Diceros bicornis minor: one gene and its partner. The protein of the gene in region 2 purifies or fractionates together with the protein of the main gene of each other region. This does not show direct contact. Links are inferred from orthologs where the notes say so. Each region holds a gene or a part of one and is shown on either strand. Other genes may lie near its edges. The genes, in order: ELMO1 and DOCK1.

What was found.
Region 1: the proteins of DOCK1 (region 2) and ELMO1 purify together in Homo sapiens (affinity purification with western blotting; 12 studies listed by BioGRID and IntAct, counting the BioPlex papers as one, with this or other methods). This does not show direct contact. The link is inferred for Diceros bicornis minor from reciprocal best matches to the Homo sapiens genes DOCK1 and ELMO1.

The regions. Positions count from the first base shown.
Region 1 is NC_080742.1:60,602,328-60,610,295, forward strand, and holds the start of ELMO1 (engulfment and cell motility protein 1), read right to left. Parts: upstream 3,713-7,968; 5' UTR 3,482-3,712; exon of another isoform or gene 3,288-3,481; intron 1-3,287. UniProt on the Homo sapiens protein: Involved in cytoskeletal rearrangements required for phagocytosis of apoptotic cells and cell motility. Acts in association with DOCK1 and CRK. Was initially proposed to be required in complex with DOCK1 to activate Rac Rho small GTPases.
Region 2 is NC_080745.1:89,363,136-89,371,904, forward strand, and holds the start of DOCK1 (dedicator of cytokinesis protein 1), read left to right. Parts: upstream 1-5,489; 5' UTR 5,490-5,614; coding exon 5,615-5,660; intron 5,661-8,769. UniProt on the Homo sapiens protein: Involved in cytoskeletal rearrangements required for phagocytosis of apoptotic cells and cell motility. Along with DOCK1, mediates CRK/CRKL regulation of epithelial and endothelial cell spreading and migration on type IV collagen.

The DNA of each region.
Region 1 (7,968 bases), on a different chromosome or scaffold from region 2:
CAGGCATTAAAAAGTGGTTGCAGGCTTCAGTTACAAACCTTAAGGGCACCCACTGTCTTAGATCCGGACAGGAAATGTCCTCCATAGGAATGATTACCTCTAAACCTTTAGAGTTAAGAAAGATGATAATGTAAGCTAAGTGTGCGCTCAGCGGAGCCCCTTGGCACACCCCCAGCCACATCCTCTCTGCAAGGGCTTCAAAGCACTCCCTTCCTCCACCTCTCCCCACCCATTCACACCAAACACCCATAGGGGAGTAAATTACTTTAAAACACTCAGCTTTGTCCTATCTCAATACCATAATTTAATAAACGCTTTTGATTGAGCAGCACTGTAGAAACCCCTCACCTGTTTTCTCTCTTTCATTTGTCTTCTCCTAGGCATTTCTTATCTTCTTTTTCCCCTGCCTCTGCCACCCAGCTTCTTCCTCCCTTACAATCTCTCCTCCTCTGCCTTCACTTCCATCTGCTGGGAGAGCAGGGTAGGGTACATGAAAGTCTCTGGTTTCACTCCCCTCACAATATGCCCTTCTTCCTAGGGGAGCATTTTTTTGGCTAAAGCAACACGCGCTTAGAGAAAAGACTTTCTCTAAGAAGAGTGATGAAACAAACACCAGATCTGGAGAGGGTATGCGTAATTAACAAAGTGTAATGGTTCTCCACTCTCCCAAGGAATCACTTCTCTGTTCCTTTCTTCGGTCTGAACTTCTACAGGAAGAGTCTCCTGAAGGCAGAAAAGGGTCTGCAAGATGGGCAGCTGGGCATGGGGGAGAAGACAGAGGAGAAAAAGTAAAAGCCCGTTACCTGGGGTTCTTAATTGCTGCTGATGCTGCAACATTTTCCTGGTATATTTCCTTGGTGAGCCTCTCCCATAATAAGCACCTCTTCTTCAGTCAGTCAACAAGTATTTATTGAGCACCTGCTATGCTGGGAATCAGTTTAGATTCTGGACCTCTAAACAAGACAAGGTTCCTGCCCTCATGGAACTTCCATTCTAACGGGGGAGACAGAGAATAATCAAATAAACGAATATATAATGCCAGGGGTTAATTAGTGCTAAGACGGAAAATTTATACGAGGTAATCAGGGAAGGCCCTCTGTAAGAAGACAACTGAACAGAGACCTGAAGGAAGCAAGGGTGTGAGCCGTCTGGACATGTGGGGATAATCTCCTTGTGCAAAAGGAATAACATGTGCAAAGGCCCTGGGGAGAGAACTTGGTGAAAAAGAAAAATGTAAGGTAGTCAGAGTGGCTGCAGTTAAGAAGGGCAGAGAGATGAGACAAGGGAAGGTTGGAGGGGTGTGGTGTGGATATGGCCATCAATAGGACCACGGGTTCTATAGCCCAATGACTGCTCCAAGTCCTGAGTTCCATCAGACCCAGGTCTGGGCCTGCCTCCCAGCGTGCCCCTCCCTGACACCTACCAAGCTTCTGAGCCAGTTCCCTTCCCTCCTGACATCATCTGCCCTGCAGAGTTCCAACATTCCAGGTCATTCCCTCACAATTTCCCAAGAAGACAACCAGTCCATCTAATTAAAAAAAAAAATGAGTAATAAATGTAGTAGAAAAGAAGGCAACATGCACATTTAACCACAGCCCTCAAGAGAGAGGAAATGTACCACAGAAAAGAGCAGAGGTTCAGAAGGTCAGCTATAAGAAAAAGTCTGCTATGTGACAGCAGGACATCTGGCCTTCTAACTTATAGTTCCCAGTTTTGAAAACTGGGGGACAATGATCCTTGAAACGACCTTGGAAAGCAGGTATGGAGGTGAGATAACACGAAAAACCATGACCAGAGGAGGCCCTTAATAACAGCTGCTTCCAGCCTTTTCCATGTAAAAGTAAACCTGAGAGGGGTTAGAGCCCTCTAGTTCCCAAAGTTACCCTCAAAGAGTTGATATACAGGTCTAGGTCATTAATTACTTTTATTTTATGGACCAAAAAAAACCTCAAAAATTCTTCCACAGCCCCACCCACCCCACCCGCAAGTCACTGGCAGGGCCAAACGGGAAGCCCGCGGCCTCTGCCTCTGGAGGCAGAAACCTTGTCTTAGGTTCTCTGAAATCTTAAACAAAACGAATTAGATTCGCATCATTTATGGCCAGCAGTGTTAGCAGGCCCATGGTCTGGGGCACAGGGCATCACAAAATATGCTCGGTGAGTCACAGGAGCTGTCCAGAGGCCGAGTCCCTCCAGGGGTCCAAGTCCTGAGGCTTCAGGTCAACACAGGTCCAGCCGCCAACCACCCCTGCCCTGAACTGCCAACTTCAAACTGCCCCCAGGCGGGAGAGGGTCACTCGGCGGGAGTCCCCAGCTCCGGAGACCCTTGCGATCACCCATACATACACACACACACACACACACACACACACACACACGCTCACTCTCGCCGCCCTCGCGCGCGCCCGCGACACAACGCGGACTTCCCAACCCCAAACACACGCGCGCACCCCCGGGCCGGCTGAGTTCTGTATTTCCTCTTCCTCAAAGCAACTCTATCGATCTCGGCCGCCCCTCTCCGCTCGGATTCTAGGGCCCCCAGAGCTCCGCTGCCCCCCTTCTCTGAAGGCGCGCCCAGTGCGCCCCCTCCTCGATGCCAGGATCTCCCATCGAAGCCCCTGCCGTCTTTCCCGGTCCCGGCGGGGACCCTGAAATGTCCCCGGGAGGCGGGTATTTACTAACAGTGGCCCCCGGGACTCCCAGCTGCCCTAACCATCCCATTCCGTCCCTCCGGGCCCTCCATCCCTCTAGCCCATCATCGCCCCCTCCAAGGAGCGCGGTCGCCGGGGGATTCCCTCCCATCTGCGAGTGCCAGAGAAAAGCCGGGAGTCCGAGCCGCCAATCCTTTCTCCAGCGCAGCCTCTCAGTTCTGCAAGCCCGCAATCCCACACTCTCTCTGTCCACAGTCCCCCAGCGCTGACTGCGCAGCCCTCCGGCAGCCCCCTCCAGCCGGCCTTGGCCGAAACATCTCCGCGGCTTCCCGGGCCCCGCGCTCCATCCCCAGCGCCCCCTCCCTCCTCTTCTACTCCCACTCCAGCCGCCCCCCTCTGCCCAGACTTCCCCCAACTGCGGAGCGCCCTGGTGCGCCCGCAGCCTTCATCCCGCAGGGCGCCGCGGCCACCTCCGCCCGAGCCGCGGCGCCCCCAGGGAGGAAACAAAAGTGTCTCCACGGCGCCCAGCGTCCCCCAGAGCAGGACGCCTCCTCCTTGCCCCAACCCCAGCTTCCTCCCCGGCCGCGCTGAGGTCAGCGAGTCGGGGCGCGGCGCCAGCCCAGGAAACTTTACGAACCTGCCCGGGGTCTCAGGACGGCGGCGGCGGCGGCGGCGAGGGTTCCCAGCGATCAGGGCTCTGACGACCAGCGACCTTTGAAAGGGGGCCAGAGATTCTGTCGCCTAGCTCGGGGCCGCGGCGGTGTGGGTGGCTCTGCCTCTATCCCGTGCCCATCTTCGCCCGCTCTCGCTCGCCCGAACACACGCACTTACACTCCGGGTCGGCCGGCTGCTGCGCCGCCGGCTGCCGCTGCTTTCACTTCCTCTTCCTTCCTCCTGCTGGCCAGAGACACATTTTGCATCTGCAAGCCATCCCGAGATCAGCCGCGAACTCTCCTCCCGAGCCGGCGCTGCGGAGTGGCCGCCACCGCCCCCGGCACCTGCGCCCGGACACGCGTGGTTGAGCGTTCGCCTCCCGCCCGCGCCCTGGTGCCTGCCCACTGTACTTTGCCTGGGGGGTACCCACGACTTTTTGAAGTCCCCCTACTGAAAAAGAAGAAAATGTCAAACACCGTGCACGCCTCAGATCTGCTATAAATAATATGTGTGCAGATCATGACTTCTCAGATGAGCTCACACGAGCGTTTTGCAGGCACTAATTAACTCCGTCACCCTCATAGCGCCACCTCCGGGAGGCCGAGAGCGCGAGGCATCTTTTTAGATGCTTTCATTTTCGGCAACTGGTTTGGAATTTTGGGGGGAAACTTCCGTGGGCTGTTTCAAGGCTACTTTAAGAGGCTGTGTATTTGTTTTGACGCTGTGCCTCTACCTTTGGACAGCGTGGCAAAAATGACAACAGAATGCTTCCTCCGCTCACAGTCACTTATGCATTTACCGACTACAGGATTTATTTCTAATCAATTAAGCCAAGGACTCCCTAATTTTACATAACTTTACATAAAACAAGATGTTCTACCCCCAACTTGGTATTTAGGGTACATCACTTAATTCATGCAACCTACTTCAGTCACTTTCCAAGCAGAAATCAAGCACGCTAACTCCCGGCCTAGCTGCTAGGAGGGAAATGACAGTTGTTGGAAGGTTGCAGGAGAAACACCTGTCCTCTCCAAATTCATAAATATCTACATTGGCTCTCCCAGAAAAGGCAAAGGCAGTCGCTATGCATTTCCCTCAGACTGGGAAAGAAGGTAAGCTGGGAGCAGGGAAGCATTCGAATCTAAGGTGGAAGGCAAAGCTTCTCTTTAAGTTTCAACACCCCCCAGAGGAGATTTCAATTTTAACCCTGTTCTGGCTGTCCATTAGCAGCCAAGAGCTCCAGGCAGCTATTGAACGCTTGAAACGTGGCTAGTCCTGAGATGTTCTGTAAGTGTAAAACAGACACGGGGCTTAATGTGGAAAATGATGTAAGAGCGTGTTAATTTTAATGTTGATTACATCATTTCAAGAAATGATAGTAGCTTAGACGTAATGAGTCAATTGGGTTAATGTATTGGGTTAAGATATAAATATATATATTATATATATATACAATTTAAAATGAGTTCACTGATTTCTTTTTCATTTTTAATGTGGCTACTAGAAAAAGTAAGATTACTTTAGTAATCTCATTAGTGGCTCACATTATATTTCTAATGAACAGCCCCAATCTGACCCCTTATTATATGCATAACTTCCAGAGGCAGTATTAGTAGCAGGAATACTTAGGTCCAGATCGTTATAAGCTGATAAGTTAAAGCAGGATGATTCCAGGAAAGTAACTTTTCTCTATTTCCTCATCTGTAAAACTGTAATGATATAATAATAACAGACAACAGGGCAACTATCAAATGAGGTAATTTAATAAGCAGTCAGTAAATGGATGCTATGAGATACTTGTAATGATAAGTATGAATTTGACCCACAACGTTTTAGCTAAGGCATACAAAGACCTTAACATTAGTGCAGACATCATGAGCACTCAGTAAATGTTAGCTGTCATAACTGTCCCAAGAGTAAAGAGGGAACTCTGTGTCCTCTCCTTGAACAGCAATTAGACAAATCCACCTCCCTGTAACCTTTGGTCCCAGCTCTGCCCTCTGCAGTCAACATGGAGTAAGTCACATCCTTCCTCCAAGAGATAACCTCTCAGGTCTTTGAAGACAGCCATTGCATTCTACCTAAACATTCTCGTCTGAAGATTAAACATTCTCAGTTACTCTAACTCCTCTTCATGTGAGATGGTTTCAAATCTCTCTAATCTTCGCCATTTTCCCCTTGAAGGACACCTGTCTCTGCCCTTTAAAAAAAAATTTGTTGTCATAAAATTAATTGACTAGTTAACCATTAAAAACAATTAATACAGCCTGAGCTCTTGTCAGTTATTTTTCAAATACATCTCACTGTTGATCCCAGTGCAAGGGGAAAACTGGAAATTCCTTGCTATGTTACTGTTAGGCCATATCCATGCTTATGGGGTTCGTCTTTGGGACAGAAGCCCTGGGTCCACCTTCTCTAAGTCTCTTTGGATTTGATTCAGGCATCCAGTGTCTCCCCATGTCCACAGAGTAGATTAGAACACTAGAGTCCTGGATGACACCCCACTAAGGGGCTCCCTCTGCCGTGGTGGGGCTCAGCATACTTTGGGTTCACTGGTTCATTCAGTTACTAATAACCCTCTTAACTATGCAATTGTCAAGCCTTATTTTTCTATTATATTCATAAGGATATCTTAGAGATGTCAAATGCCTTAGAGAAATCCACCTCTACCCTAGGCTTAGCTGGTGGTCTGCAGTGGGCACAGTAGAGTGGTGGTGTCATGTACAAAGTCTCCATCTCTAGACTTGGTTGTTGAGTATAAATCCCAGCATTGGCATTTACTAGGTGCATTACCCTATGCAAGTGACTTGACTCGTGGGATTAAAACCACACCTACCTGGGAGGGTTGAGTGAGGATTAAATGAGTTAATACATGCAAAGTTCTTAGAAAAGGGCCTGGCACATAGAAGCACTCAATAACCGTTAGCTTAGCTATTATTATCCATAACAGTCCTCTGATCAACAAGTCATGTTAACAGAGTCCAAAAAAAGAGCAACACCCTCCCTTTTCCCATATATCAGTTTCTCCCCATAGGGGAGGGAGAGAGCCTGTATCATCGCTCTGATGTTATTTAAGCTTCTGGTCAAACCTGGACCATTCAATTGTTAAGTTACACTGCAGTAGAGAGGACAGCCATTTTAGGGTAAGGACCGGAATCCAAGTGCAGCCCTTCAGTAGCACTTGCAGTGGGTCCACCTGGGCAGGGCTTAGACTCTGCAGATGGGCCAGCCTCATCTACATCTCGGGTGGTAGGGAAGTGGACTCAGGATCTCCTCTGCAGGACCACCCATCTCAGTTTCAGGATGGAGAAGAGGAAGTAGGGTAGGGATAGTTGGCTAGAGAACAAAACTCAGTGGACCCTCAAATCTAACCTGCTCTCTCCAACCGTGCTTACAAGACGGCTTTGCATTGTTGACAGCTGGAGAGGTGTGTTTGGGGAAATTTCCCATATTTTAGTACCTTGATCCTGTGTTTCCCATATCTTTATTCTTCCTTGTGTATGCAGAACTCCAAGATAGGAGGGGTAACTGGAAGTTTATCAGAATATCACCATGAAACCCCAAACTGCAAAAACGGCCTGTTATATTTTTCATCAATGATGACTCATGTTGATCAACTCTTTCTAAGTGCGCACAAATATTGATTTCTACTTCATTAAAAAAAACTTATTGGACTTCAAATGGACGTTGTGCATTTAGTAATGCATTTAGTAATTTGCTTCAGAATTCTACTCCAATCAGCCTCAACTTCCTTGATCTATAGCTTGAAGAATCTATTCTCTTTTCCTGTCTTAGAATCAGGCTCATGTTGGCTTGACTCCAGTCTACGAACAGCTCTTGGAGGCAGAGAAAATGGCCTCAGCTCCAGGAGGCTGCGACACCAGAGGTAACAAAGTCCGGGCAGCAGACAGACACCTGCACTCCAGAGCCACTGGGGTCAACCCTGCATGCAGACCTCAGTTTCAGAGTCTGTTCCCTGGGGAACCTGACCTAAGACATCAGCTGTTCTCACGTTATGGATATTATATCCTCTCTTATTTACTGTGAGGATATTAATGATACTTCTTTCAAATTCTTCTTTTATTTGCCCTATGAACTCTATTTCCTTAGGTTATAGTTACTCAATGAAGACTGATGTCACCTTGGCTGGGTGCTTAACTTGGCGTATGTGATTCTCTGCTCTCCTGTCACTGCTGTTTCTGTTATCTGTAACTTGCAACTGATGATCCTGGGGAAGAGGGAGACGGGCTGCCCGGTGGTGGTCCTGGGAGTTTATGTCTGTGTGTGGTCGCACCCTCTCTAGGAGATTTAAATGATTAAATGGAGCCCAGCCTCTTCAGCCCCAGTGCTCACATTCACTGCTCCACCTGGATACGAGGCTAAGGCCACGAGCCGCTTAGCAAAGTGGTGATGGAGGGAGCAGAGTAGCCCCACAGTTAATCACCCTGAGTGCCCTTGGGCATCCTCCTGCCTCCATGTGTGTTTACACTGGACTCGGAGCGCCCTTGACCCAAATTGCTTCTACCTCTGTCATAGAAATATTCTGTTTGCGTGTTGGGCTGTGGTTTCCTCCCATTTTAATTTTCTCTATATCTGATCCAGTCTGCTCTCCAAAACTTCTGGTGGCCTGCTTTTCTTTCTTTTTCCTTCTTCCTTCCTTCCTT
Region 2 (8,769 bases):
AAGCCAGCTGGGCAACCGTAGGGCTCAGCTCATTTGTTTCCCTTCTTTCAGGGATCACAGCCCCGTACCACCCCATGTCTGATATCTGGAAACCATTGTTTCATCTGGAATGCCTACCAGTGTTAAGCTCTGCCATTATCTCATTAAATCTTCATGACTTCCTAGCAGTCAGACTATTTTCTTTTTTTTTATTTATTTTTTTGCCCCAAAGCCCCAGTAGATAGTTGTATGTCGTAGATGCACATCCTTCTAGTTGCTGTACATCGGATGCGACCTCAGCATGGCTGGAGAAGTGGTACATCGGTGCGCGCACGGGATCCGAACCCAGTCTGCCAGCAGCGGAGCGTGTGCACTTAACCACCAAGCCACGGGGCCGGCCCAGTCAGACTATTTTAAAAACAAGGAAACTTAAGAGCAGCCAGGTAACTTTCCTAGAGTCAGACAGCTGCCAAGGTCTTGGTCACGTGTCTGGCTGATTTTGTGAATGCCACCCTGCACCATCTGAGGATACTGAGGCCCCGAAGGGGACCCTGAGGGCATCCAGCCTCCAGGGGCAAGGCCTTGACCACCTCAGGCCTTGCAACCCAGATCCAGGGCTCCTTCCATTCTAGGACCTCCGCCTCCTGCAGGTGCCCCGGCCCCCAGCTCCAGAGCTCATTGCTGTGTGTGCTCAGTGTGGGAAGGACTGCTTGGTCTGCATTTACATTCACAGTCACATTTGCCCACAAGGCACATTAGCACAGCAGGCAGCATCCTCTACTGAACAACATATTTGCTCTGCGGAGCTGGTTGAAGTTGAACACCCAGGGTCTGCTGTAATAACCTGCACAGAGAGCGCTGAGCAGTGCATCTGGAGGTGAGGCAGGGCCCAAGCTCTTAGGGTGAAGCCAGGCCAGGCCTCTGCTTCTCAAACTGGTTTTTAAATCTCAAGCGCTTCCCTTCCTTCACTTTATTTTATAAAAAATTTCAAACATATAAAAAAAGTAGAGAGATGAAACACTCACAGACCCAACACCTAGACTGACCACTCTTGCTTCGTTTCGTTTTGTTTTTGCTGTAATAAAGTCAATGACAAACACAGTGACAGTTCACTTCTACACTGCAGCACGCATCTCTAAAATACAAGCACATTTTCGATATAGCCACGATAACACTATTATTACACCTTGCAAAATAAATAATAATTTAAAAATATTATATAATACTGGTCCTGAGTTAAAATCCCCTGTTGTCCTTAACGTCTTTTAGAATTGGTCTGTTAGCAGCCAGTATTGGGTCAAGGACCGCACATTGCATTTGAATGTTATATTTCTTAAGTCTTTTAAAATCTAGAACAGTTCTCTCCCAGCCCTATATTCTTTTTCAATAATATCGACTTGTTGACGACACTAGACCAGTGTCCTAGAGAAGGTCCTCCCTCCCAGCTTTGTCTGACCATATTCCTTGTGGTGTTCAACTTGTTCCTCAATCTCCTCTATTTGCTGTGAACTGCAAGTTCCGTCTAAAGTCTTGATTACACATTTTGTGCTGTGTGACATTGTGTGCTGTGACCACAGGCCTGGTCATCTAATAGGATGCCAAGATCTGCCACTGGGTCAAAGGGGGCAGCTATTAGACGCCTCCCTGCAAGACCACATTCCTTCCCTTTCAGCTGGCCAGCAGCCTGCGGTCACTCCCTGTTTGAAGTGTGCAAAATCCATCCCTCCCTTTCTCATTCTCATCTGTGCCCTTGCCCCCAGATGAACATGCCCCGCCCCTCACTGTGCCTTCTAGTATCTCCCCCAAGGAAGATTTTGCTGAATTTACCTCCTGAGTGTGCAACGTGAATATGGAAAATTTTTTCAAATTAAAAAAAAATTTTTTTCAAAATTTAAAACTATAATATCGTGGCCGGCCCCATGGCGTAGCGGTTAAGTGCGCGCGCTCCACTGCTGGCGGCCCCGGTTGGGATCCCGGGCACGCACCGACGCACCGCTTGTCAGGCCATGCTGTGGCGGCGTCCCATATGAAGTGGAGGAAGATGGGCACAGATGTTAGCCCAGGGCCAGTCTTCCTCAGCAAAAAAAGAGGAGGATTGGCGTGGATGTTAGCTCAGGGCTGATCTTCCTCACAAAAAAATAAAACAAAACAAAAAAAAACCAAAACTATAATATCGATTTTGGTTTTTTTTGCTCCATCCCAAAATTCTGCCCTATCTTGGGAGGGAGTCACTAGTCTGACCTCCCACTGATGCTTAGGACTGGGTCACTGGGAGCCCCAGTGCTCTTGGGCGGGTCACACCTGCAAGCATGGTGCAGACCCAAGTCCTGCACGATGCCTGAGATATTGCTGAGATCTGTGGCCCAGTCATGTCCACTCAGGAGTTAAAAATGCCAACTGACCAAACCCCAGGGCTCCTGGAATCGGAGGTGGAGCCAGTCCCAAGCTCAGGCAACCACAGGGCAATGAGCCAGGGCCATGGACTCGATTTAGAGCCACAAGACGAGGCCATGGCCGGGGTCAGCCAGGGAATGCTGACGAACCTCCTCAGGGCTGCAAGGACTGCGGCCGCATGTACAACTTCTCAGCCAAGCTTGGGCACACGTCACAATAAGGCAAAACCTCAGTGTCTCAAACACAGTGTCCATGCTCCATCTGGAGTTTTTAAGCTCTGATTTAGAAATTTATTTATATGACAGTCTTACAGAAGTACACAATTCCACACCACATTTATTTATATATTCAGTGGGTCACTTTTATCAGCACGAAAGTGGCGACTATTCCAGAAAATGTGAATGTTTGAGCTCATCAAACGAAGAGGAGGCAGCGTCAGAGAAAGCCAACCACAGTTACAATGTCTTAGCTGTGCAGACGCATCTTCTCCTGTGATCCTCAGAACAGCTCTCAGAATGAGGTTGGTAGCATCGTCCCTACTTTATATGTAGGGATGTCAGAACCTGAAGGCTTAGAAACAGAAAATGGCCCCAAATGGAAGGAGAACGGTCAGACAGCTGGCAATGGCAAGGCCAGGCCTCCGAGGTCTGCATGGCTCTCAAGCCCCTGGTCTTTTGCTACAACATGCCATCTTCCCCAACGGGTAGCCACACAAGCAGAATTGAAATTGGGCATAAAAGAGAAGGAAAAGATCACCAAAATTTGTTTTCCAGGTTTTCTTTGCAGAATTCTGAATTCCTGGCAAAACCTAGAAAGCCCTTCTACTGCAGGCTCATTTTGTGCCACTTTCCTGTTGTTCCCTATGCTTCAGCAACACTGGCCTTTCAGTTCCTTGAAGGCTGTGTGTGCCTTGCCTCCCCAGGGGCTTTGCACATGCTGCTCCCTCAGTAGTTCACCTATCTAGTTTTCTGCTTATCCTTAAAGTCTGGGCTTACATTGTTTTCTCAAGGAAGCCCATCTTGACCTAGGGTAGGTCAGGCCACCATGTCATTTGTCTTGGAGCACCCTAGTTCTCCTGTACAGCACCTTTACAGTTGCTTCTCCTTCAAGAGGTCCAAGTCACCAGGCCATGGGTTCAGGGCCTGAGCCCCTGAGGTTTCTTTCTTTTTTTTTTTTTTTGTGAGGAAGATCAGTCCTGAGCCAACATCCATGCCAATCCTCTTCTTCTGCTGAGGAAGACTGGCCCCGAGCTAACATCCGTGTCCATCTTCCTCCACTTTACATGGGACGCTGCCACAGCATGGCCCGACAAGCAGTGTGTCGGTGCGTGCCCGGGATCCGAACCTGGGCCGCCAGCAGTGGAGCGCGCACACTCAACTGCTACACCACAGGGAGGGCTGGCCCCGCCCCTGAAGTTTCTAATTTCCACAGAAGGCTTTAAGTGCACGCATGAGGCTGCGTGAGACTGGAACCCAGTCACCTTCCCTCTGTGAGACTTAAGTTCTTTATCAATAAAACAAGGCCTGTGACTTTCTGTGAATCTGTGGTCGATTATCACAAACTCTCAAGTCAAAGGCAATGGCACTGTATCCTCTTGTATACAGTAGGTTTCTTCTCATCCACCCAAACTGACGAGCTCTGGGGACGTTCCACAGTGTTTATTTACTCTGCATTCTGGGTTGAATGGTGAGATTTCCCTGGCTCAGAGCATCCCCGAAGGCAGGCGACGGGCAATCTCTGCAGCAAAATGATGGCCCATCTGGCCCTTCCCAGGCCCCACTGGCCCCCTCGCCAGCTCTGCCACCCAGCGTTGTCCCTACCCCACGGAAGCCTTCCATCTTTTTACCTTCTTTCCTCCAATCCTTGAAGGCTCCGGGCCTCCTGCTGTTGTCACTAGTTCTTGGGGGCATGAGAGAGAGGAGGACAGCCGGTTAATAGTCCGTGAAGCCAAACTTCCTCCATTTAGTGGACTGCCTTCTTTCCGAGGCTGTCTCCTTCCTCCTCCATTTCTTGGTTTTAATTTTTCTATTCTTTTCCAAAATTACGGTAAAAATAAATAGGTGTGTGTGTTGTTTTAAAGTTTTCCCTGGAAACTCCGAAGCGCCATCTGTTACCGGCATGGGAAACAGGCGAGTCTGAGAACTCACCTACTGCGTGAAGAAGCTCCTAAGAAGTCATGTGTGTCTGCTCTAGGCCTGGCCTGGAGTATCCTCTCCCCGCCAGCACCAATCCTACCTCCTCTCTTCTCCCGCTTCACAGTCCTCCAGTCCCAGTGAACCAGCAGAAGTTTCTGCAAGCCCAAGGAGGCTGAGGCCTCGGGGCCTTAGCAGGCTCCGTCTGCCTCTCCCTCCTGGCCTCTCTGGGTAGCTCCACTCATCCAGCACTCAAGCCAGAGGTCACCTCCCTGGAAAACACTCCCTCACCAGCACTGCACCATCTCTTCCCCTCACCTTGGGTGTCCTTGCCCAAGCACTCAAAGCTGGCCTACCTATTTGTTGTTACCTTTACGCATCACCCCCTACACCCCCTAGCACACCTGGGCACGGGGTAGGTGCTCAGTTCAAGTCCTTCAAATGAAAGAATGAACCACGTGCTCTGGAAGGCTCCTCCCAGTGGAGCTCCCGGTTGGCTCTGCTCCAGGACTCTCCACCAAGGCGGAATCTGATTTGGGGACCTTACATCACCAGGCGCCCGTCTAACTCCCGTGCTGTACAAACCACACACTTCATAAATCTCATAGAACTCCCTCTCCCCCGGGGGCGCACCCCTCTCATTGTATGAGACCCAGTCCCCAGGAGGGCTCACTGATTGAAGGAAACTCCGCGGATAATGAAAAGACTAGGCCCCTGCGGGGGGTGCTCCATCGGGGGTGTCCGTGGGCCGGGAATGTGGGGACAGGATGGGGCGCGCCGGGATCCAGGGGCGGAGCGGTCGTTGGGCCTGGGTCGGCGGCGGCCGCGGGGTCCCCGGGCGTGGAGCGCAGCCGAGTCCGAGCGCGCGAGGGCGGGCGCGCAGCCCGAGGCCGTCCCGCCTCTCCCCGGAGCTCCCGGCCTTTCCCATCCGGCCCGCGACGCTCCGCCCGCCCCGTCCCACATGACACCGCCTCCGCCGCAAACTTTTTCCTCCCCATCCTGTCGCGGCTCGAAAGGAATGGAAAATGGCGGCCTAGGCGCGGAGTTTCCTGCCCGACCGGCGGCGGCGGCTCTCGCGGTGGCCTGGGGCTCGGGCCGCGCGCGGCGCCATGACGCGCTGGGTGCCCACCAAGAGAGAGGAGAAATACGGCGTGGGTGAGCACCGCGCGCCGCCCCACCTCGCGCCAGGCCTGTCCCGCGCCGCCGCCGCCCGCGTCCCCGCCGCCGCCCCGCCACTTGCCCCAACTTCTCGGGGCGCGGCGCTCCGGGCGGCCGGGGGCCCCGGCGGGGCGCGGGCGGCGGGCGGGGGTGCCCGGAGCCTGTTGCCGCCGGCCCGGGCGGTGCGGGCGGGATGCAGAGTGGCCGGGGCGGCCGGGAAGACGCGTCTCCGCCCCGCGCGCCCGCGCCGCCCGGCCGAGTGCCCGATCGCGCCCCGTCGGCGGGCGCTGCCCGCTCGGACCCCGGGCGCACGCTGGCCCCGCGCCCCCACTGGAGCCCGGGCGAGCCGGGCCGGGGACACGCGGGGGTGAGGGGCGGGTTGTGCCACTTTTCGAGGGTGTCCTCTCCGACATCCAGTTCTCGGGCGGGCACACCAGTGGCGGAGCCTTGCAGCCTCCCGGGCTGCCCCTAACTCGGAGGTCCCATTCTGCCCGCGGCCGAAGCCTTGAGTTTGGCTGGGCCCGGCCGGGAAGCCCGGCGTCATTGTTCTGCCGCGCCTTTTTGCTTTTTGTATGAAGTTTTGTGCAGTGTCTGGGGCTCATGTGGACGGTTTCAGGTTGCAATGATCAAAGCGAAGAATTGTGGTCTCCCCCAGTAGGAAGTGGCGTGCGCCACCCGGGCGGGCCGAGCGCGCTTCCCCCCACTTGGGGTTCGTGCCCTGGGCCGTGCGGGACCCTCGGAGCGGAGCAGCTGAGCGCTCTGGTGGCCCCGGGGCCCGGAGAGCGCGTTGGGAGGACGGGGACCTGTTTTGGCTCCGCTGCTCTTTGTCGTTTCCTGAGGGGAGTACGGAGACTCGGGTTGCAAGTTTACATTTCGAACGGAGTGAATACACATTCCAGAGAGCGAGGCTTTCTTGAACGGCAAAGAAACAGGCCCCCAGCCCGGCTCCGCTCTGCCGTCCTCCGCAGGGGTCCGCAGCCCGGCCTGCCGAGGCCTGTGGCTTCTTGCCTTCTCTGAACTGGCCTACCCCGGGCCCCGGTCTGGCCGCGGCTGCTCTCCGGGATCCCCGGATCTTCCCGGTGGCTTTTAGTCTCACTTTTCTCCTGCTTCTCAATCCAAAGTGGTGGACCACCTCCCCACCCAGGCCAGACTGTCTGCCTGACTTGTAAGGCCTTTTGTGACCTTGGCCTCCCCTCTGCCGCCAGGTTGTGCCCCCCCAGGGTCCCCGCTCCCCTCCCGCAGCCCTCCTGTCCTCCTGTCTCTGAGCCCGCGCACTCCCGTGGCGACTCCAGGAGTGTCTTGCCCACTGCTGGTCTGCTTCAGTCCTGGCCCTCTGACTTTCCGGAAGCCTCCTGGGTGGCTCCAGCCCCGGGGGGCTCTCCTCTCTGTGACTCCGGTTGTTTATCTTTGCTACATGTCAGCCACATGCAGTGGAGCTGGCTTGGACAGTGGCCTTGGGAACAGTCCTGAGACTGGGTACCCCTCTGAGCCCACGATGGCTTGTTCCATACCGGGGAGCAGAGGGCCCTCCTTGCTTCAGGACCACTATGGCTGAGCTCCTTTCCAACCTTCTTTCTGGAGATGTGGAAACTGAGGCTCAGACATGCACCAAGAGTAGCGGCAGAGGTGGGCTTTCTGACTGCGTGCTGAGCGTGCACCCTATGCGCCTCCACATGGATTCAGCCCCGCGGCACATCCTGATAGAAAGGTCCTCCTTAATCTGCATTTGATGAGGGAGGTTTGGGGTGGAGATGCTGGCTGAGATTGCTTCAGGTGTGGCGGCAGTGGGGGTCCGGGCTGTGGTGAGCCTGCTGGGGTGATGTGTATGAGGAGAGAGCTGAGGACAGATCCGCAGGGAACACAGCACCGAGAGATGGAGGAGGAGCTGGAGGACTGCGGAGAGGCAGGAGGCAAGCAGAGGAGCAGGTGACCCACTGCCCTGCAGAGTAGGCAGGTAGCAGCTCTAGCTCTGGCCCAGGGCTTGCCTCTCAGTCCTGGGCAGTGGTGACTACCATCACTCCCATTTTACAGAGGCAGAGAGAAGATAAATTGCTTGCCCTCTCTCGCACCACTTGTAAGTGCTACTTCCTGGATTTGAACCCTGCCTGTGGCTCTAGAGTTCACGCTCTCCCCCACTCTGTGCACCAGGAGAGGGGGAGGGGCTTCTCTTTGGAGCAGCACCACATCCTAAGACACTTTGATGCCTTTCCTTTGCTCCCAGGGTGACCTGATGGTGTCAGTGAGGACACTGTAAGTGTGGACACCTATAGAGTGGCTTGACCCTTGTGTCTAGAGAAGACCAAAGGGTAAGTTCAGGGATAGAGCGAGCAGGGTCTCCTCACTGGGCAGGCGGCTGTGGGCAAGAACGTGGCTGTGTTCCTCCCCATCAAGTCACATGCCTTGCAGAAGCTTCCCTGGCACTCACTGCAGTGACTTCTAAGATCACACCTTTGGCTAATACTTTGGTTTTAAGAAAACTTTGTATTGAAAAGTTTCCAAAGAAAAGTATCCTGGATGGTTGTGCCAGGCATGTCTAGGAAGGCTGTGAATGGCTGTCAGGTAGAGGAGAGGGGGCTGTTTTGCTTAGTTTCACCAGCTCGAGATGAGGCAGCTGAACTGGGTGGAAATAAGACAGCACAACTCACTCAGCATCAGAAAGAGCTTTAAATGACTAGAGCCCCTTCAGGGAGGGCAGACGGGCCTGGACCGATTTTGGGCAGAAGGGAAGGCTGGGGTGCTTGCATTGGGGTCATCCCAGGCTTCCCATGTGTCTGGGATGCACTGGGAGGATTCCACTGTCCTCAAGAAGGGTGTGGACTGGGGAGATGTAAGTGCTGGGATGTAGGGATTCATTCCCATTAGCTATTTGGCTGTTTCTGCCTAAGGGAAAATTACTGGAGATCCCCCTTACCAACCACAGTGTTTTTTTGGGGAGCCTAACAACAGGGCTCTGTTTCCCTAGAGGGTTTCTGGTGGATCTGTGGGTGGGCCACGCTTCCACTCTGGCCACTGACTTGGGCAATGAATGAATCACGAGGGGAAAGAAAATGATAAAACTCCATCTCATTTGGAAACATGAATCACAGCTCATTGTTTGCGAGGACTT